Linked DNA regions of Drosophila melanogaster. The protein of the gene in region 1 purifies or fractionates together with the protein of each later gene. This does not show direct contact. Each region holds a gene or a part of one and is shown on either strand. Other genes may lie near its edges.

The links.
Region 2: the proteins of alphaTub84B (region 1) and ringer purify together in Drosophila melanogaster (affinity purification with western blotting, with the first as the bait; one study listed by BioGRID). This does not show direct contact.

What each region holds. Positions count from the first base shown.
Region 1 is NT_033777.3:7,083,958-7,092,097, forward strand, and holds alphaTub84B (alpha-Tubulin at 84B), read left to right. Parts: upstream 1-2,641; 5' UTR 2,642-2,784; coding exon 2,785-2,787; intron 2,788-3,276; coding exon 3,277-4,626; 3' UTR 4,627-4,882; downstream 4,883-8,140. Other genes in the region: tailor, read right to left, coding at 1-167, 226-361, 418-524, 577-810, 968-1,400, 1,457-1,555, 1,925-2,023. UniProt on the Drosophila melanogaster protein: Tubulin is the major constituent of microtubules, a cylinder consisting of laterally associated linear protofilaments composed of alpha- and beta-tubulin heterodimers.
Region 2 is NT_037436.4:16,351,688-16,362,713, reverse strand, and holds ringer (ringmaker), read left to right. Parts: upstream 1-3,285; 5' UTR 3,286-3,415; intron 3,416-6,265; exon of another isoform or gene 6,266-6,409; intron 6,410-6,522; exon of another isoform or gene 6,523-6,623; intron 6,624-6,677; 5' UTR 6,678-6,684; coding exon 6,685-7,080; intron 7,081-7,346; coding exon 7,347-7,529; 3' UTR 7,530-7,968; downstream 7,969-11,026. Other genes in the region: Cpr72Ea (cuticular protein 72Ea), read right to left, coding at 1-64; Pdh (photoreceptor dehydrogenase), read left to right, coding at 8,433-8,576, 8,633-9,034, 9,099-9,389; Tcs3 (Threonyl-carbamoyl synthesis 3), read right to left, coding at 9,501-9,743, 9,799-10,484, 10,546-10,660; Golgin104 (golgin 104), read left to right, coding at 10,875-11,026.

The DNA.
Region 1 (8,140 bases):
CACGGCCTGATTGGCTGCATCCTCTATCTGCAGCATGGCAATGGGGGGCAGCAGGGCCTGGAGCTGCAGGAAGTAAATCACCATCAGTGTAATGCTGTACGTCGATATTTGTTCAGTTAGCTTGCAGCGCTCCAGCCAGTTCTTTACATATATGCACATATATTGAGCTGCAAGGGAGCGAATGCAAAAAGATAACATGGACTCTATCCGGCAGCATGTGCTTACTCAGTGGCTGTGACTCAAATATGTATTTGAGCAGATTTGTATTGCAAAAGCCCATGCTGTTCAGACAAATGTCGCACTCGATACCGGTTGGTAAGTGGCACGTCTTGATGATGGGCACGCGAGCCTGTTCGATGAACTGTTGAAGAAAGTGCAATGGTAAAAACGAACGTATTGCTTAGGGACACAGCTCACATTAATAAGACGCCAGTCCTCGCTGTCGCAGAAGAACTTCCTCATAGCCCGCAGCTTGGCGACGGTAGCGTTGGAAGCTCGATGCTCGAACGTGTGAAATGTGTTGCCTGCCAATTCAGAAGCCAGGTGAAATTGGTAGGAGCTCAATGCAGTACTAACCCGACTTACCGATGTCGACGAAGAGGTCCAGGTCCGAGGATCGATTTCCAATGCCTGTGATGCGGGACCCGAACTTGTAGACTCGCAGTGGTTGTTTGGGAAAGCCCGGCGACAAAAGCTTGCACAGGTCCTGTTCGATAACGTCGTACTCGGGAATCACCTTTAACTTGTCCGCTATTGGGTATTTGTCCTTAAACACATTCGTAATCTCTCCCACAATCATTGCCCTGGCCTCTGCAATGTAAAAAGTATTTATAAAATATCGCTGGCTCTAAAGAAAACATATTAATCAAAGTATTGAGGCTTTATCAATCTAACATTTACAAGTAGTCAGACCACAATTTTTAGACTGCACTTCTGCGTAAGTAAATGAAATGAAATGGTGACCTACTCTTGGGTAGCCGTACTGTTATATGCTGACGAGCCTTCACCTGGGCCTGCTTTTTCTCCTGTTTCGTCTGATGCGTCGGATGCGGCTGGACTGGCTGATTGTTGGGATTGGGTTTTGGATGCTGCTCCGAAAGGTGGGCCACAGCTTTTGCGATGGTGGTGCCCACTATGCGGTTGCTGCAGGAACTACAGCTGAATGTTCGCTTTATTGTCTGCAGCTCCTGGGGCTGGACGAAGGCCACGCCCTCACCCGGTGCGGCCATCTCCTGCGGCAAAACGTATGTGGGATTCCTGTCCAAGTAGCTCTCGATGCCCACCATAATGCGCTCCAGCAGGTTGGCCAGGTGCGGGTCTAGCTGCGGCGGATTCGTCGTCTGGTTCACTGAGTTTAGGGTCTGCAGAAAGAAGTGTGCCTCCATGGTAAGCGGATTCATCTGCACGATCAGCGGGCTTTAGTCTAAAAATTCGAATGATACAAACTCGTACTCACGTAAAGCAGTTTGTTTGGCATCATCTCGGCCATCGTCTTATTCTTCTTCGTGGCCTTTGTTACCGGAGCGGCTATGTTGGGCGCGGTGGAGCCCGGAAGCTGAAAGGTTAATCGAATGCGTTAACTTTTCTGCAACTCGAAAGTTTGCCGCCTTTGTTCGACTGCCAATAACTGTTGATTCGAAAATTCGAATCGAAGCGGTTGAATTTCGTAGGGTGGCCAACTACACCAAAGTTCGCCGGCGGTGTATGCATGTGAGTGTGAGTGTGACAGTGGGTGTACGTGTGCTTTAAGCGACACAATCGCACCGCGATGTACATATTTTTGTAGAAATGTGTGTGCATTTTTCGTCCGGATCACGGCTCCATAAAATAAATCATATCACAGGGCTCAGGGATTTGTGAGTAGAAGTTCCCGCCACTTAAACGTCACTTGTGAAATCGCCATCGACGGTCAACTTTTACTCACACTGGTCTTCCGCGGACGGACCGTCTCAAAGTACTGCCTTTCTGCGTTGGAAAACATCGCCTTTTTCGTCCAAAAGGAGTCCCCAGGTTCGATCCGCATGGCGTTGTGCGTGCGTGCCTTTCTTTTCAAATGATTACGGCTATTAACTTGGGGGCGTTAAGTTGGAAACACGTAAATTGCAGACTGCGATTAGAGTGACCATGAGTAGGAGTTCAAAATCTCCTGACATCATTTTCTTAAAACCTGCTTTGTTTTTTACATTTCTATTTAATATAACTCCTATTTGAATAAAAAAACAAAACAAGTTTAGATGTTAAGATATTAACTACATCCTTTGCTCCAAAGGGAGAGGGGAAGTTATGGAGTTAATTAATTTGCTGTTGGAAATCAATATGGAGTCAGAAATATAATGATTTACTAAACCTTATTGAATCGGTAACGATGCGAATTTATATTAAAATAGCTTTTATGAAACATTCAACAAAAATATTATTAATGTTGGCCCACTTTAGCAACCGGTTAGGTCTACCGGTTGGGCAAGCAAAGATTCACGCCCTGGTTCGAGTCCCAACTAGTCCTGCAAAATACCGCAGCAAGTTTTAGAGAGACCAAGTGCCATTACCTCTCCCACTTCAGTTATCGGTTATGCGGCGTTTAAGTCGACAGCTTGCCGTCTCTAGCTCCGGTGCCTATATAAAGCAGCCCGCTTTCCACATTTCATATTCGTTTTACGTTTGTCAAGCCTCATAGCCGGCAGTTCGAACGTATACGCTCTCTGAGTCAGACCTCGAAATCGTAGCTCTACACAATTCTGTGAATTTTCCTTGTCGCGTGTGAAACACTTCCAATAAAAACTCAATATGGTGAGTACTTTAAAAAAAAATCTAGTGAAATAATGCTGAAAAGAAATTTGTGTGGGCAAAATTCAATGGGCAAAAACGCGATGCGGCTTTTTCTCAAAATGGCGGCCGGCCTGCGTTTTTTCCTCAAAAGTGATGACGTCATGCCTGTTTTTTTTTTTTGTTCGCAATGAGGAATGGCTCTTAAAATCTAGATAAAAAAAATATTCATTATTTCTATGCTGCTGGAACGCTTCATTAATCTTAAAAATTCTAAATTCGGTTACCATGATACTTCGACGCATAACTGTAGATTTTGGATAGAATTAAAGAGAAAATGGCGAGAGAGTAAAATTCCGGCGTCGGCAAAGTAGAGCAAAAAAATCAGTATACCATTTAGCTACCTCTCTCACTCGCACGCAGTGCCGGCTCAAGTTGGGCGCGGCTCTGCAATTATCGATTTTCTTGGGGTGTGTAACTAATCATCCGTTTTCCCTTCCTCCTCATCCACAGCGTGAATGTATCTCTATCCATGTTGGTCAGGCTGGTGTCCAGATTGGAAACGCCTGCTGGGAGCTCTACTGCTTGGAGCACGGCATCCAGCCCGATGGCCAGATGCCGTCTGACAAGACCGTGGGCGGAGGTGATGACTCGTTCAACACCTTCTTCAGCGAGACTGGAGCTGGCAAGCACGTGCCCCGCGCCGTGTTTGTGGATCTGGAACCCACTGTGGTCGATGAGGTCCGTACCGGAACCTACCGTCAGCTGTTCCACCCCGAGCAGCTGATCACTGGTAAGGAGGATGCGGCCAACAACTACGCCCGTGGCCACTACACCATCGGCAAGGAGATCGTCGATCTGGTTCTGGACAGGATCCGCAAGCTGGCCGATCAGTGCACCGGTCTGCAGGGCTTCCTCATCTTCCACTCGTTCGGTGGAGGTACCGGCTCCGGCTTCACCTCGCTGCTGATGGAGCGTCTCTCCGTGGACTACGGCAAGAAGTCCAAGCTGGAGTTCGCCATCTACCCAGCCCCCCAGGTGTCCACTGCCGTGGTCGAGCCCTACAACTCCATCCTGACCACCCACACCACCCTGGAGCATTCCGACTGCGCCTTCATGGTCGACAACGAGGCTATCTACGACATCTGCCGCCGCAATCTGGACATTGAGCGCCCCACGTACACCAACCTGAACCGTCTGATTGGCCAGATCGTGTCCTCGATTACCGCCTCTCTGCGATTCGATGGTGCCCTTAACGTGGATCTGACTGAGTTCCAGACCAACTTGGTGCCCTACCCACGTATTCACTTCCCTCTGGTGACCTACGCCCCCGTTATCTCCGCCGAGAAGGCCTACCACGAGCAGCTGTCGGTGGCTGAGATCACCAACGCCTGCTTCGAGCCGGCCAACCAGATGGTCAAGTGCGATCCCCGTCACGGCAAGTACATGGCCTGCTGCATGCTGTACCGCGGTGATGTTGTGCCCAAGGACGTCAACGCCGCTATTGCCACCATCAAGACCAAGCGCACCATTCAATTCGTCGACTGGTGCCCCACTGGCTTCAAGGTTGGCATCAACTACCAGCCACCCACCGTGGTGCCTGGAGGTGATTTGGCCAAGGTGCAGCGTGCCGTGTGCATGTTGTCCAACACCACGGCCATCGCCGAGGCCTGGGCCCGTCTGGACCACAAGTTCGATCTGATGTACGCCAAGCGTGCCTTCGTCCACTGGTACGTTGGTGAGGGTATGGAGGAGGGAGAGTTCTCCGAGGCCCGTGAGGATTTGGCTGCCCTCGAGAAGGACTACGAGGAGGTCGGCATGGACTCCGGTGACGGCGAGGGTGAGGGCGCTGAGGAGTACTAAGCGTCACGCCACTTCAACGCTCGATGGGAGCGTCATTGGTGGGCGGGGTAACCGTCGAAATCAGTGTTTACGCTTCCAATCGCAACAAAAAATTCACTGCAACACTGAAAAGCATACGAAAACGATGAAGATTGTACGAGAAACCATAAAGTATTTTATCCACAAAGACACGTATAGCAGAAAAGCCAAGTTAACTCGGCGATAAGTTGTGTACACAAGAATAAAATCGGCCAGATTCAGTGTTGTCAGAAATAAGAAAACCCCACTGTTTTTCTTTGCCTTTTCTTTCTCCCAGCGATCATTCATTTCGTGGTGAAAGAACGGGGTCATTGCACGGAGTTTCGACTGCGGGAAAGCAGAGCTGCCGTTCACTTCGTCTATAATTAGCGCTTTCTATTTTCCCCGATTCGGGCCGCTGCTGCGCTTTTCCGCCTGCTGTTTGTGGCAAGTGTAGCAGCAGGCTGTGCACGCAGTGTGGCATGCACTTGGCTTTCCACCGTTGGTATCGATTCTCTGGGACGATGAGTCATTCCTTTCGGGGCCACAGCATAATCGTTGCCAGCTCACCGAAATGGTGACTTCATTTCTTAACTGCCGTCAAGCATGCGATTGTACATACATACATATTTACATATGTACATATTTATGTGACTATGGTAGGTCGATATAATAGCAATCAACGCAAGCAAATGTGTCAGTCCTGCTTACAGGAACGATTCTATTTAGTAATTTTCGTTGTATAAAGTAATTATGTATGTATGTAAGCCCCATAAATCTGAAACAATTAGGCAAAACCATGCGAAGCTTCCGAATTTAACTACGAGTCTACGAGTTAAATATGTATGTATGTACGTATTGAAGTGACCGCGTTTGTACATACACATTATGTATGTACTTTGTGCAGGCCTTTAATGGGGGTTGATTTGCCAAAACGAAATTGGAGCCTAGGTAAACCGGTTGGTTGTTGTGTTGTACTTGTAAGTATGTAGACACATACATACATAATCCGCCTGCTCCGTTTGCGCCCAATGCGGCATTTTCATGAAACAGACCGAAGAGGCAGCTGCTATCGAATTTCCAGAAATACCCAGGCAAACGGGCAGGAAATGAAGCACGGGAGGCAGATGTGCTTGGAAAATGTGTACACTGTATTGACGAGAAATGCACAAACGCACACATTGCATGTAAGAACGTGCATACATACATATATGTATGTACATACATACATAAAATAGCATTTACCGGTAGAGACTGGCGCCTTTATTGAGGTTATGTCTGATGTCATTTGGTACAAATGTGCAAAGAAATGGGTCTTTTTTTTGCCGTTGAAATATAGTTTACCTAACAGCACGCACCTAAGACTATTTAAGAAACAGTTTCAGCCTTAAAATCACGCTTTTTCGGCGATAAATGCAAACAGTTGGCTTCATGAAATCATAGCCAGCTGCCAACGCAGATTTGGTATGGCGATATGACTATATATGTACATACATACGTACGTACATACATGGATAGTGTCAAACGCCAACGCATTTTTATAATGACGACACTTCGGAACCGGCTCACAGAGATCTGCTCAGAAAGGTGTGGGTGGATAAGGCGGTTTCGTCGGCGGTTTTATGGCCAGCAAGCCCCCACAATCGAGCTCTGATGAATACGGATGAATGTGTAAGCCGAAATGTTTGATCAATAAAGTAAAGTTCGGAAATATAAAATGCTTCGCTTTGCAAAATAAATAAGAATACAGAACACATACGTACATACATATGTATGTATGTCTGAACTGCAAGAGTGGCATTTTTTGCCACTCAACCAATTTGAGTGTCGGGTGCCACTCCCTTACGGGTACTCACTTATAACCTTCGTGTGTTTTGCAAGCACTCGGGTGCGCGCGCACCCGAATCATTGCGGAACTCTTCGTCGCGAGTGCCGAACACACTCGCCACTCAGAAAAAAGGGAAACAGTGAGAAAAAGGCAAGTACGCAAAAAGTTTTGAGTGGCAAAAATAGTCATAATTCGAAGCCAAAGAAAGAGGTCGCAATTATGGAAGAAAAGGCAGATATTATAAAAACTAAAATTTTGAATGGAACTTACTCGGTTGCCATTCAACGTAAGGGAAAGAGTGTGATTTGGAGCATTTTATGTGACATTTTAAAGGAAAATGGAACTGTTCTTGACGGATGGCTGTACTGCAGTAAATGCCGCAAAGTGCTCAAATTTGTACCTAATCACATTTCCAATTTATCCCGACATAAATGTTGCCTGACATTAAGACGACCAACGGAGTTAAAAATTGTTTCTGAAAGCGACAAGGAAGAGGCCATTGAAGTATGCACCCAATGGGTTGTGCAAGATTGTCAGTCGTTTTCTGCGGTAACCGGTGCTGGATTTAAAAATTTGGTACAGTTTTTCTTAAAAATTGGCGCAGTTTATGGGGAACACGTGGACGTCGATGACTTACTCCCTGATCCAACAACATTAAGTCTTAAGGCCCATTCGGAGGCAGAAGAAAAGGGTACTCTAGTCTCGGCCGCGATAAAAGAAGCTGTAGATAGTGATAGTGGAGGAACTATGACAGCAACGGCAGATTTAATTAAAAAAAAAATTATGAATGGAGCTTACACTGTTGCCAATCAACGTAAGGGAAAAAGTGTGATTTGGAGCATTTTATGTGACATTTTTAAGGAAGATGAAACTGTTCTGGACGGATGGCTGTTTTGCAGTAAATGCCGGAAAGTGCTCAAATTTATACAAAATCACACTTCCAATTTATCCCGCCATAAATGTTGCTTACAATTGAGACGACCAACGGAGTTAAAAATCGTTTCTGAAATCGACAGGGAAGAAGCCATTGAAAAATGCACCCAATGGGTTGTGCAAGATCGTCAGTCGTTTTCTGCAGTAACCGGGGCTGGATTTAAAAACTTGGTACAGTTTTTCTTAAAAATTGGCGCAGTTTATGGGGACCAGGTAGACGTCGATGACTTACTACCTGATCCAACAACATGTTGAATGCATACCTACATATGCCAATATTGATTTGTTGAAATTTGTAAAACATCGATACTATCATTGTTTTGAAAAAAAAAAAAAACGGTAGAACTTTAGCTTAGCGTGAACCGAAGTTTTTATACCGTTGCAGTATATGTAAATAATATTACAATAGCCCTTAAGAAAAATGCAAGAAGGACTGCAAAGGAATTAAAATAAATTTGTTTAAAAAAAAAACAAAAACGTTTTAGTTCATTGATTAAACAATATACAATGTAACACATCATATGTTGATGAAAAGTAGCATATCTAGTACTTTTTCTCCAACCTTAATCGCTCTTCCAACACCTCCAATTAATTTTTATTTTTCTTTAATCAAATAAGGAAAACTAACATTTCTATTCCTTATAAAATTAAACAACCTATTTGTTTCTCTCGCTCTATTAATGTGTCTGTGTTAGCGCGGAGAAAACATCGATTGCTTTCCAAAACGCTCAATGTATTGAAAAACTGAAAAACATC
Region 2 (11,026 bases), on another chromosome or scaffold:
GATAGTACAAGGCCAGTCCGTGGGCCAAGCTGAGGCTTCCTAACAGCAGAAGTGGATACTTCATGGTTGGGCAGTGGAAGATTGCTTCGAGTGAGTCTTGTTCGTCAGTTCACTGGTAACTGTTGATTCTGAGCCTAGGTCTTCATCCTTTTATACCCAGCAGGTTCTTTCGCGAGTTCTAGGTTCTGGTTCTGGCTGAGGTTCCTGCCGGTCAGATGCTTCTATTCTGATACACTGCGAAAAAATTCTAAAAGTATGCCATATTATTATCTAAGAGAGTATACAAATGTTTTATGCTCTTTTACCCTAATATAGTAACGTGATTTTTATGACTTAAATTAAATCCAAAAATAAGTAGTTCGTAATTTGTTTAATAATGATTTGTACAAAGCTTAAAACATAAATTTAAATGCATATAAATAATAATATTGCTAAAAAAGACTGTTCTTAAATTCCTGAAATTTTAATTTTATGATTATGACAATCATTAAAAAAATATTTTATTATTGATAAAAAAGGTGGTTTATTGTACTTAAATAGAATTCATCAAATTTGTACAAGCACACGTATTTCATTAAAGAATAACCTAATAGTAATAATATCTGTCACATTTTAAAATAGTAAACAGCCAATTAATTTTTTCTCCAAATGTATCCATCAGATGCACTTCAATGCAAACGAGGAGATGCGAATGCGTCGTCGTGTCCACTTGTGTCGTTAACGGACATTGCAGCTCCGCCTTTCACTCCCCTTTTGGGGATCGACGCCTCGTGAAGGCGTTGTCAATTTGGTTTAATTGTGGCCAAGGCTGGAGTGGGCCCAAATGAGGGAGGCAGACCCTGGTTCTCCGCAGCGGGAGGAGCAATCGCTGCCTGGCATCTCCATCTGCATCTGCATCTGGATCTGCAAGCGAGCCAAGGGCCTTGGCTGGGTGGACCATCAAGGCCAAAGACCGCATCCAGACCAGCGTGTAATTGATATGCAATCGTTGTTGCTGCCACAGCATTGTGGCATCTCAGCCTCCTTTTTGTTCGCACACTGCAACGGGGCCACGACAACAACAGCAACTTCAACTGCAACAGCAAATGCAACAACTGTGGCAACAACCGACGACGACAACAACGGCATCTCAAGGTGAGTGAAGGCCAAGGGCCACATTTGGCCACAGCTTGGACACGGGAGTCATGCACTCCAGTGGCGAACAAAATGGGGGTCTTAGGGGGGTCATAAGTACCCTTAAAAATTATAATACTTGGTTAGATACATATGTATGTACATAAGAAATATATGTTTTATGCGAAGAGCTTACAAATATGACACAGAAAAGGGTTAATTAAATCGTTAAGTCCGCTAAATAAATAATATAATGTGAATTTTTAGACACCTTATAGTATACACTGAAGATATATACTTATTTCAACCGGACACTAAGAAAACCCCCTAAGAATATGTTTCCCATCCGCCTCTGATGCACTGCAGCTGCATTGGTATCTCCTGTTCCTCCTTCGCTGGTCATTTTTATTTTTAGCAGCGGGCTTATCGGATGCCTCAGATCTCTGGTGCTTAAACTTCGCTCCCGATTAGGAGGAGGAGGAGGAGCAACTGCAAGAACCACATTGGATTGGCCTTGACGGCTCGGCTGATAAGTGCGTTTTAATGTTAGCCCCGTTGGCACTCAGTTTCAATCAAAGCCCAATTCTCTACAACCATTCCAGCCTGGCTTAATGAGCTGGTTAGTTCTGGCCTGGAATTGAAGTTGGATTGGCAATATAGTCCGGTCCACTTGGTTCACTCCCTTTGTTCTGTCTCGAGTGGACTGTGCCCTGATTTGTGTACCACCATTGGTTCTTTGAACTGCCTTCGTGGCTAATTAAAGGTGCACTTAAGATAGGCCAGGTGGCAAGAATCATGTTTTTCATTTTTCAGGACTGGGAGTACTTTGATTTTATGTCCTAGAAAAAAAGAGCAAACGAATCAGTCTAAAAGGTATTTCAGCTGTAAAACATTCCATAAATATAGGAAATTTAACTCTTTCTAATTTTAATTAAAGAATATTCTAAACGTCATCTGGTCAATAAACTAAATGAATATTGTAGAATGAAATATTTAAATTACATATCAAACATTGTATATTAAATAATAATAATCAATGGACCTCTGTTTGTAATACCTAATGCTTAATTTACGAAATTAATTAGAAGTCTCCTCAGGGTATTTCGTTTTCCAAGTTAGTCTTTCAGTTGCTTTGTATTTTGGTTTTGGGCCAGGGCTATGACTTCATCGAGTTGGCCACAAAAACTTACCAAATTCTTCCGACCGTCAGTTCTCATAAATCAATGTCAAAGGTTTTTTTTTCGTTCGTTTAGGGTTTGTTTTGGGTTTAGGACGGGCTTGTTGTTTCAGTATGTGTTTAATCATTTTATGGAGTGCGAAGTAATTTCCTTATGATTTCCTATTTGACTTTTACTTTTTCCTGAATGTCCAAAATAGAAAAGTTCAAAGAACCCATTTACCTAGTAAGGCGGTCGACAAATCTTAACCGCTTGAAATAAGTACTCATTTGCATAGCTAAGCATGAGCTCACTGGTTAGTATAGCCCAAGTCACACCCCAAAAACACGTCTAAGTAAGCCCAAAAGATACACCCTTCATTATTCGAATTGTCTGGCACTTGTTGTGTGTGTTTTTTGCCCAACAATTTCACGCATCGTTTTTTGTTTTTTTGCGCTTAAACAAATTTACTGACTACAAACTCACTGTTTTAGTAGCTCAGACTGTGTGGCGAACCCCTCCCCTTCTCTTTAGACAATATAAAATCAGGAAAAGCTTTAAGCTTTATTCCCTAGAATTTCACTCACAACAAACCAAAATTTTGAGTGTAACTTGTTGGTTTGATAAGATTCTGGTGTGTAGCGTCACTTTTGTTATTCTGAGTTGTTTTTAGGTCTCGTTTGTTTCTTTTTCTTTCTGATAAATGGCTTCGTCGTGTGGCTTTCGTTGTTAGTTTTCGTGTATAAAATTTTGCGAAATGAAGTCATCGCTTGAAAAAAAATTGGGGGGTCAGTAAAAGTGTCTATAAGATCCAAATCGTTTTCCTTATCTCATTCAGAAAGTTTTGGAATTTATGTTAGCTCACCAACGATTTGCCATCTTTTCTTTGGATAAAATGCTAAGGAGGATTTTCCTTTTTGAGTTTCTATTTCACTCAGCGAAAGCTCACTCAAAACAAAAATATCACTCATACGCCGCTTGGGCCTTCGCTAGCCACTGGCTGCGCATTTGTCCAAACAGTTGAGTTTCGACATCGCCAGCATTCGCGCGTTTGCCTTAAAGTGATTGGAAAATAGCCGAGGAATAAAACAAATATTTTTTTGGAAATATATTCAAGAATTTTTGGAACTTTTTTAATAACAAATGTAAGTTGGAAACGTTTCGAGAAAAATAATCTAGTTCGTTGGATTTATTTTTTTTTTTAAAATGTTACTGTATCCTGCATCTATAAGCAGACTCCGAGCCAAGGATATTTTTTTTATTCATTTTATGAGTAGCAGGTTCATATTTTCAAGAGCAGATTTTGACCCACTTACCGCGCATCGCGTTCCCCTTTTCTTTTGTTCCTGGGGAGCACCATTGTTTTCGATTTCCTTTGGGAGGTCCTGATTTAGGCGCATTTTCCCCGCTTCCGTGTGTATATATGCGTGCATTTGAATCATCAGTCTGAAATTCCAGTACCGAGACCCCCCAGGAAACCCCTTCTCCAAACTGGCGCTTGCGCGTTTCCCAGCTCCCAGTGATGTCATCTGGGCTAGTGGTGATGTAGCTACACATTTCATACACATATTATGTCCCGAGCATAAGTCCCCCTCCTAAGTCAATGATTTCTCTATTGCGTTGCGTGCTCTATCAGAATGCCCATGACTTCCTGTTTTGTTCCCCCCAAAATAAAAGTTCTCTTTAATTTATGCATTCAGTCCGAGGTGCTAATATTTCTGTGTGTTTATTAACACACGTAAACTCATATGTGGTGCAGTATTTCATGTTTCTCCCCCCAAAGTCGTTTGTTTTATAAATATACATCGAGATGACCCAAATTTCGCTTCCTCCATTCGCTTTCCAGCGGTCCACTTGAGGTAGGTTGGGTTTATAATTGCGTTCCCCTCTCCAGGAAGTCCATTCTTTTCGAAAATGGCTATCTATAATATTCATTCATATTCCTATTCAAATTGTGGTCATATGTCATATATATTGCCCAATTAACTTTTACCATTTTGGTAGAAAACTAATTAAAATGTTGGCAACGAATTCGCAATGCTCGACTGGAGCTGGATGAGAACTTGTTCTCCAAATCGAAAATACAGAGAAAGAATCCAAAACAGAGATGGGAAATGAGAAGAATCGAATTATTTATGGTCTGACAAGCAAGCGGATTATTTCTGATTTAGACTATCCACGCTCCCCATCAGACTGCCTGATTTTCTGCCATTCATTTCACGAGGGGTATCTGCACTTTGAGTTGCCAAAGAATATTAAGAAAATAATTTATTTTGTGTGAATATAGTATCCAAGTCTGATCAGGGTATCATAGGATGAGTCTTTCCATTGTCGATTGCGATGATTTAATACTTCCGCTTTTTAAATTGATTACGATCATCTTAAACTGTTAGTATTTCCCTCGAATAATTATAATATTTAGATTTTTGTAAAACCTTTCAGAAAATTATTAGCAATCGGGCTTCTATTAAAAATCAAACTAATAACGTCAATCTTAGTGTAGAAAATTGGATCTAACAATCCGAACTATTTGCATTGGCTGATGGTAGTTAAAAAAGATTGATTTTACTAATATTACAAAATGAATTCTATTGTGAAAAAAAGCATTTTGAAAGCCACCATAGATAACCTAAAGATATTTCTTATTAGTTTTGATTTTACAGGTAATTTCCTAGTCGATAGCCTCTTGTTTTTTGCCATCTTAAAACTCTTCTTGCATATTCCAACTTCTTTTGTGGTGTAGTTTGTCAACTTTTCTTGTTTCCGAGTATTTATGGCTTCCAATTACATGTAGGGGCGGAGTAAAGGGTTCCATTAGTCTTGTCCGGGAACTGGGACCGGATAATTTGTATCGTCTTGAGCGGAGTTCAAGTTCAATGGCCCTGGTCTTGAGACCAATAAGATGATTAATGACCGGCAGACTTGCTATGCATGCAATGTTCCCAATTAACCACTCAGTTTACATAGATCATTTCGATGGATTATCTGGGGAATATGGGCTATTAAATTGCCTCACCCCAGAGCTATTCAAAGCTGATCCCAGAACAGCGTAATCAAGAGCCGGCGTAATGAGGCGATGACATAAGCACTCATTTTTCGATTTGGATTGCGAATGGGGCTAGGGGGTGGTAAAATAGTATTTGACATGCTCGACGGGCTGCATCAAGGTCATGGTGATTCTACCCCGCCCGTCCACTTCGATTTCGATTCGCATCTGTGCGGGCACAAGCCGTGGCATCATATCTCACGGATAGAGGACTCCAAACTGGTTGCAGTCGCATCTTATCGCCGCATTAAATGCTTGCCCAAACGGCTTCCATCTCTCCTGGGGCTCCAACTTGCAACCTTAAGTGGTGCGTAATTAATGGCTCCGCCAATAAATGCTCACGTTTTATTTACTGTTTATGGAATGATGGGGATGGGTCTGAGGATTCGACTTCGTGTTGGGTAGCCTGTAAACAAGAGGACAATTTATGCTACAAGCAATTTTAAAACTAAATTATCATCCAAATTTATGCCACGTTCGGTGGGTAACAAATTAAGCGAGGAATTTCTGGCGATGCGTAAAATATTTATTGCTCTTTTTGTTATTTTAATAAGCGTAAAAGTGATTCATTTTAATAATTTTAGGGTATATCTATAACTGTATAGCTGTACCGTAAATACCTAATATCGCCTTAGGATTATTAAAACCCATGATAACTGCATGCTAGAGACTAATCATAAAAGATCTAGCAAGCTAGCGCTAAGTTCTGACCCCCATAGAGTAACCCATGTGAGCCAAACCTGTTGACTATTTGTTTTGTGTATTTGGGTTTGCCAAAAGGCGATAATTAGCTGCGTTGGGAGATGGGGGACCCAAACCGATGACGCCATCTAATGATTGAGTCTCTCCCAATTTGCCTTTAGATTTCCATCTCTCGAAATCTAGCTGAGAGAGCTTTGGCCTAGCTTTGGGTGGGTATAGCTTTGCCTTTGTCCAGTTCAGCATGGGTTGTGATATCATTGCGAAAGCGAAGTGAGTAAAGTACTGATAAGGTGTTCGCAAAGATACGTCTGGGAATAGCACCTACATATGTAGATAGTTGACAGTGACGGACAAGACCCACCGCAATGTTGGTGAGCGTTGTGGCCCACAGGTGAGGAACTGCGTAGGTGACAACCGTAGTCAACCGATTACGCAGGAGCGGAAAAGTTGCGTGTTGGAAGAAACCACTACAAAATGTTAAACAAAACAATGACCTATCAGGCTAGGCATATTATTAATAATAAATGATCCTCAGTCCATCTGTAAAATTGAAGGTTCTTTGTCCGTAGTTGTTTATTTATTACTGGGCATCTATTAAAACACCTGTAGGGTTCAGTAAAGGTTAAAAAAATATATATAATATTAAATATATTTTTCAGATCCACCATGTCCGAGGTAGCTGCAGCAAATGGAAGCCCCTCCCCAGCGCCAACTCCTGAGGTGCCCGCTACCGAGTTGGCCCAATTGGCGCTGGAGGATGAGCCCAAGGTTAGCTTTTCGGATCAGTTCAAGGCCTTCTCCAAGTTCGGGGACTCCAAGTCCGATGGCAAGCTGATAACGCTGTCGCAGAGTGACAAGTGGATGAAACAGGCCAAAGTTATCGACAAGAAGATCACCACCACGGATACAGGCATCCACTTCAAGAAGTTCAAGGCCATGAAGATCTCGCTCAGCGACTACAACAAATTCCTGGACGATCTGGCCAAGACGAAAAAGGTGGAGCTGTCGGAGATCAAGCAAAAGTTGGCCAGTTGTGGAGCTCCAGGAGTTGTGTCCGTTTCGGTGGGTTTGATAAATTGGTTGTGAAAAATATGATCTATATAAGTCAAATGATTAAGATTGATTTTAAAGTGTAAAGAACTTCGAGAAGACCATTTAGATATGACAAAATTTAAATGATTTTTTTTTGACTCATTTAAACTATCAATTGTTAAAGTAGTTTTCTTACAGAAGTTCTTAAAAAATATCTTTTTAAACCTTTGAAAGTCATAACCATATACTTTATGCCTTTATTGAAAACCTAATCAACATTTTGTTACCATTTTTAGGCTGGAAAAGCCGCAGCTGCCGTGGATCGATTGACGGATACGAGCAAGTACACCGGTTCCCACAAGGAGCGTTTCGATGCCTCCGGAAAGGGCAAGGGTATCGCGGGCAGACGGAACGTGGTCGATGGATCCGGATATGTGAGTGGCTACCAGCACAAGGACACCTACGACAATGCCCACTAGATGGGGTAACCACCGTTTTTCACCCTCTCATAAATCTGTATTTCTAACTTTTGTGTTTCCCTAGTTAATGTCTCCCAATCTAATTTATCTTTGTGTATATAATAAGTTTGTGATAATTTAAGTGCTTACAAATAAACTTATATTTTTGATTATAATTTTTGAGTTCCTTTACTTTGTTTATCCTTCTTTGTCCTTTGATACGTAAAATTTTGAAGCGGCCCAAAAAGAGTTCAAAAGTAAATCCAAATCAAATTTATATACATTTCATGGCAATCAAACCCATGTTTGGTAGTCTTAAGATAACAGATAAACTTTTAATATTACAATTTGTGAAAGAAATTTAAATATCACATATGGAAACCAAAGATATACGACATACATATGTAGATATATGTTATGTTTTCACAAGAATTTTGCTTGAATAAATACACTTTAAAATATTTGCATTGCTAAAATTTGTATTGGGAGGAAATACAATTTAAAAAACCAAAATTTTAAAGCAATTAAGATGGTTTTGTAAATCGAAATATACATTTAATTGTAAGATCTTTGAAAAATGCCCAACATGTGTACCTTCTTAAAAGCAAAGATTTCACTGGAAGATAGTTATTAAGAGATCATTGCTTTATCTACACAATGACATTATCACTGATGCAAAGCTGACATCGAAAAACCGGAGCGGTGTGAAGCAGACTGAACGCTACAGCGACCAGATGGGGATGGAAATTGATATATGGGCATAAGTTGCATAATCCTAACCCAGAGCAGGTGGAAAACTAGCTATTGATTGCAGTCGAACCAAAGTCACTCAACGATATATCATATAGCCCTTGGGAAATAGGTATAAAAGCGGCGAACATTACAGCTCCAAGTCAGCAGTGCAACTGAGGAGCTCAGTGCTTGATGAAGCCACAAGGAATACCACCGACTACTACACGAATCAGCCAGACCAAGATGTCCTTTCGCGGCAAGAATGCAGTGGTGACCGGTGGAGCTGGAGGCATTGGACTGCAGGTGTCCAAGCAGCTCCTGGCCGCTGGAGCAGCGGTTGGTTGTTTTACACATAATTACGTGAAGTAATTTCTAAAGCGAGTGCTTCCTAGAAGGTGGCCATCATTGATTTGCAGGATAATCTGGAGGAGTTTGTAAAACTTAGGGCCGCTCATCCCACCCAAAGCGTAATGATCATCAAGATGGATGTGGCGAACAAGAAGGGTGTGGAAGCCACCTATGAGGAGATAGCCAAGACCTTCGGTAACATCGATATTGTGGTCAATGTAGCCGGGATTTTTAACGACAAGGATGTGCAGAGGACTCTGTTGGTAAATCTCGGTGGAATCATCAATTCCACACTGAGTGCATTGCCCTACATGGGCAAGGATAATGGCGGCAAGGGTGGCATTGTGGTTAACATGAGCTCGGTGGTGGGTCTGGATCCAATGTTCATCATTCCCGTTTACGGAGCCACCAAGGCTGGCATCATCAACTTCACCCGGTGCTTGGCGGTAACAAGAATTTCTTACATATCTTTTGAATTAGGTTTTTCATTTAAGTCTCTTTCTTAATTAGAACGAAAAGTACTATCAACGCTCGGGCATCAAGTTTGTGACTGTTTGTCCTGGAGCTACAATGACGGACATGTTCACCAACTTTACGGAGAAGATCATCTTCCCGGAAACGAGTGACGAGACCTATAGGATCCTGGATAGGCTAAACAAGCAGAGTGCCGCTGATGTCTCTCGATGCATTCTGAATGTCCTGGAGAAGGACAAGAACGGAGCTGTCTATGTCATCGAGGGTAAGCGCGTTTACCCTTTGGAAATTAAGCCCCAGTGGACGGGCAAGGAACAGGCCCTTTAAGTGGGTTAATTCGTTCACATCCTAAACACATGCATTTTACAAATATGAAGTTATTATGGACACTAGTTATTTAATAAACAAACGATGCACAGAAATAAGTTCTTGTGGTGATTAGTCATCCCGCCAGCTGACCAGCACTTCGTCCGTTCGAAATCGCTGAGTCACATAAGATTCCTCAAAGGGCATCCTAGTGCCAGAGCGGAACATTTCTGCACCAGCATGGGCAATCATTAGTCCGTTGTCTATGCAGTAACGTTCATCAGTGGCAAAGAGTTTGCCTCCGCGTTCCTCGCACATAATACGCATCATCTCCTGGAGTCGCTCATTGCAACCCACACCTCCAACTATAAGGACCTGAAAAGAAGTCGGTTAACTCATAGATTAATTTCGGAAAACTGTTGCAACCAACCTCATTTGAGCCGCAGTGTGCCATGGCGCGCTCTGTGATCTCCACCAACATGGCGAAGATGGTCTCCTGCAGCGAATAGCAAAGATCGGCTTGGCTGTAATTATTGACCTCTTCTTCCTGTGGCTTTTTTCTCTTATTTTGCCTCTTGCCCGGCTCTGCCAGGTCCTCGATGTAGGATAAAATCCCCGAGAAGCTGACATCCATGCCCTTAACCACATAGGGCAGTTTAATATAACGATTGCTCGACTTGGCCAGCTGCTCGATGTTGTAGCCCGGACTAGGATCGTTGGACAGCTTAATGATGCGGGCGAATCGATCCAGGCAATTGCCCACTGCAATGTCTATAGTTTCGCCAAAGATGCGATATCGCTTATTGGAGTAGGCAATAACCTGTGTGTTTCCACCGCTCACATAGAGAACTGTAGGATTCTGGGCACCGGTGATCAGGCGACCCATCTCGATGTGTCCAATGCAGTGATTTACGCCCAGCAGCGGGATATTCCACAAGAGCGACAAAGTGCGAGCCACAATGGCGCCAACCAGCAAAGGAGGAGCCATTCCTGGGCCTTTTGTGTAACAAATAACATCTAGATCAGAGGATTTCAATTGGGCTTCCTTTAGACTGGATTCCACCAAGCCCAGGATGGCTTCCCTGTGATGTTTGGCCGTTTCCTTGGGCAGGAAACCTGTTGAATGATTGGTTATGATTAAATCTGTACTAGCCGGCGGGTTAGAATGTGGCAATACCTTCTCCTGGTGGGGTAATGTACGTTCTACGTACGTTCGCCAGTACTTTACCATCTCGAATTATGCCAATGCCAATTTTATTGGCACTGCCTTCAATACCCAAAGCGCAAACCATGTTTAAAATTCTAACAAATTAAGCAAATTGCAATGTAAACAAACATTAGTGTTACCCTTCGCGCCGAGTGGCAGCAATGGTCATACTGCTCAAGGAGGGCTGCCAACTTTTCCAAACTAACAGCTGGTTGCAAATATCAAACTTTTGTTGTATAGCAAAAGTACGCGAAATTCATTGTAAAATTTAAATAGATGATCAAATAACCGATCCGATAATGGAATCAGCGCAGGCAACACCGCCGGCTGAGATGGAAAATCCGGCCAGCGTGGAAAATGGTGATTCTGGCCGGGATTCTAACCACATAGAGGGGAAAGCAATTGGAGACGTGGATATGAAAGCGGATTCCATTGAACAGCAGCTGGAAGA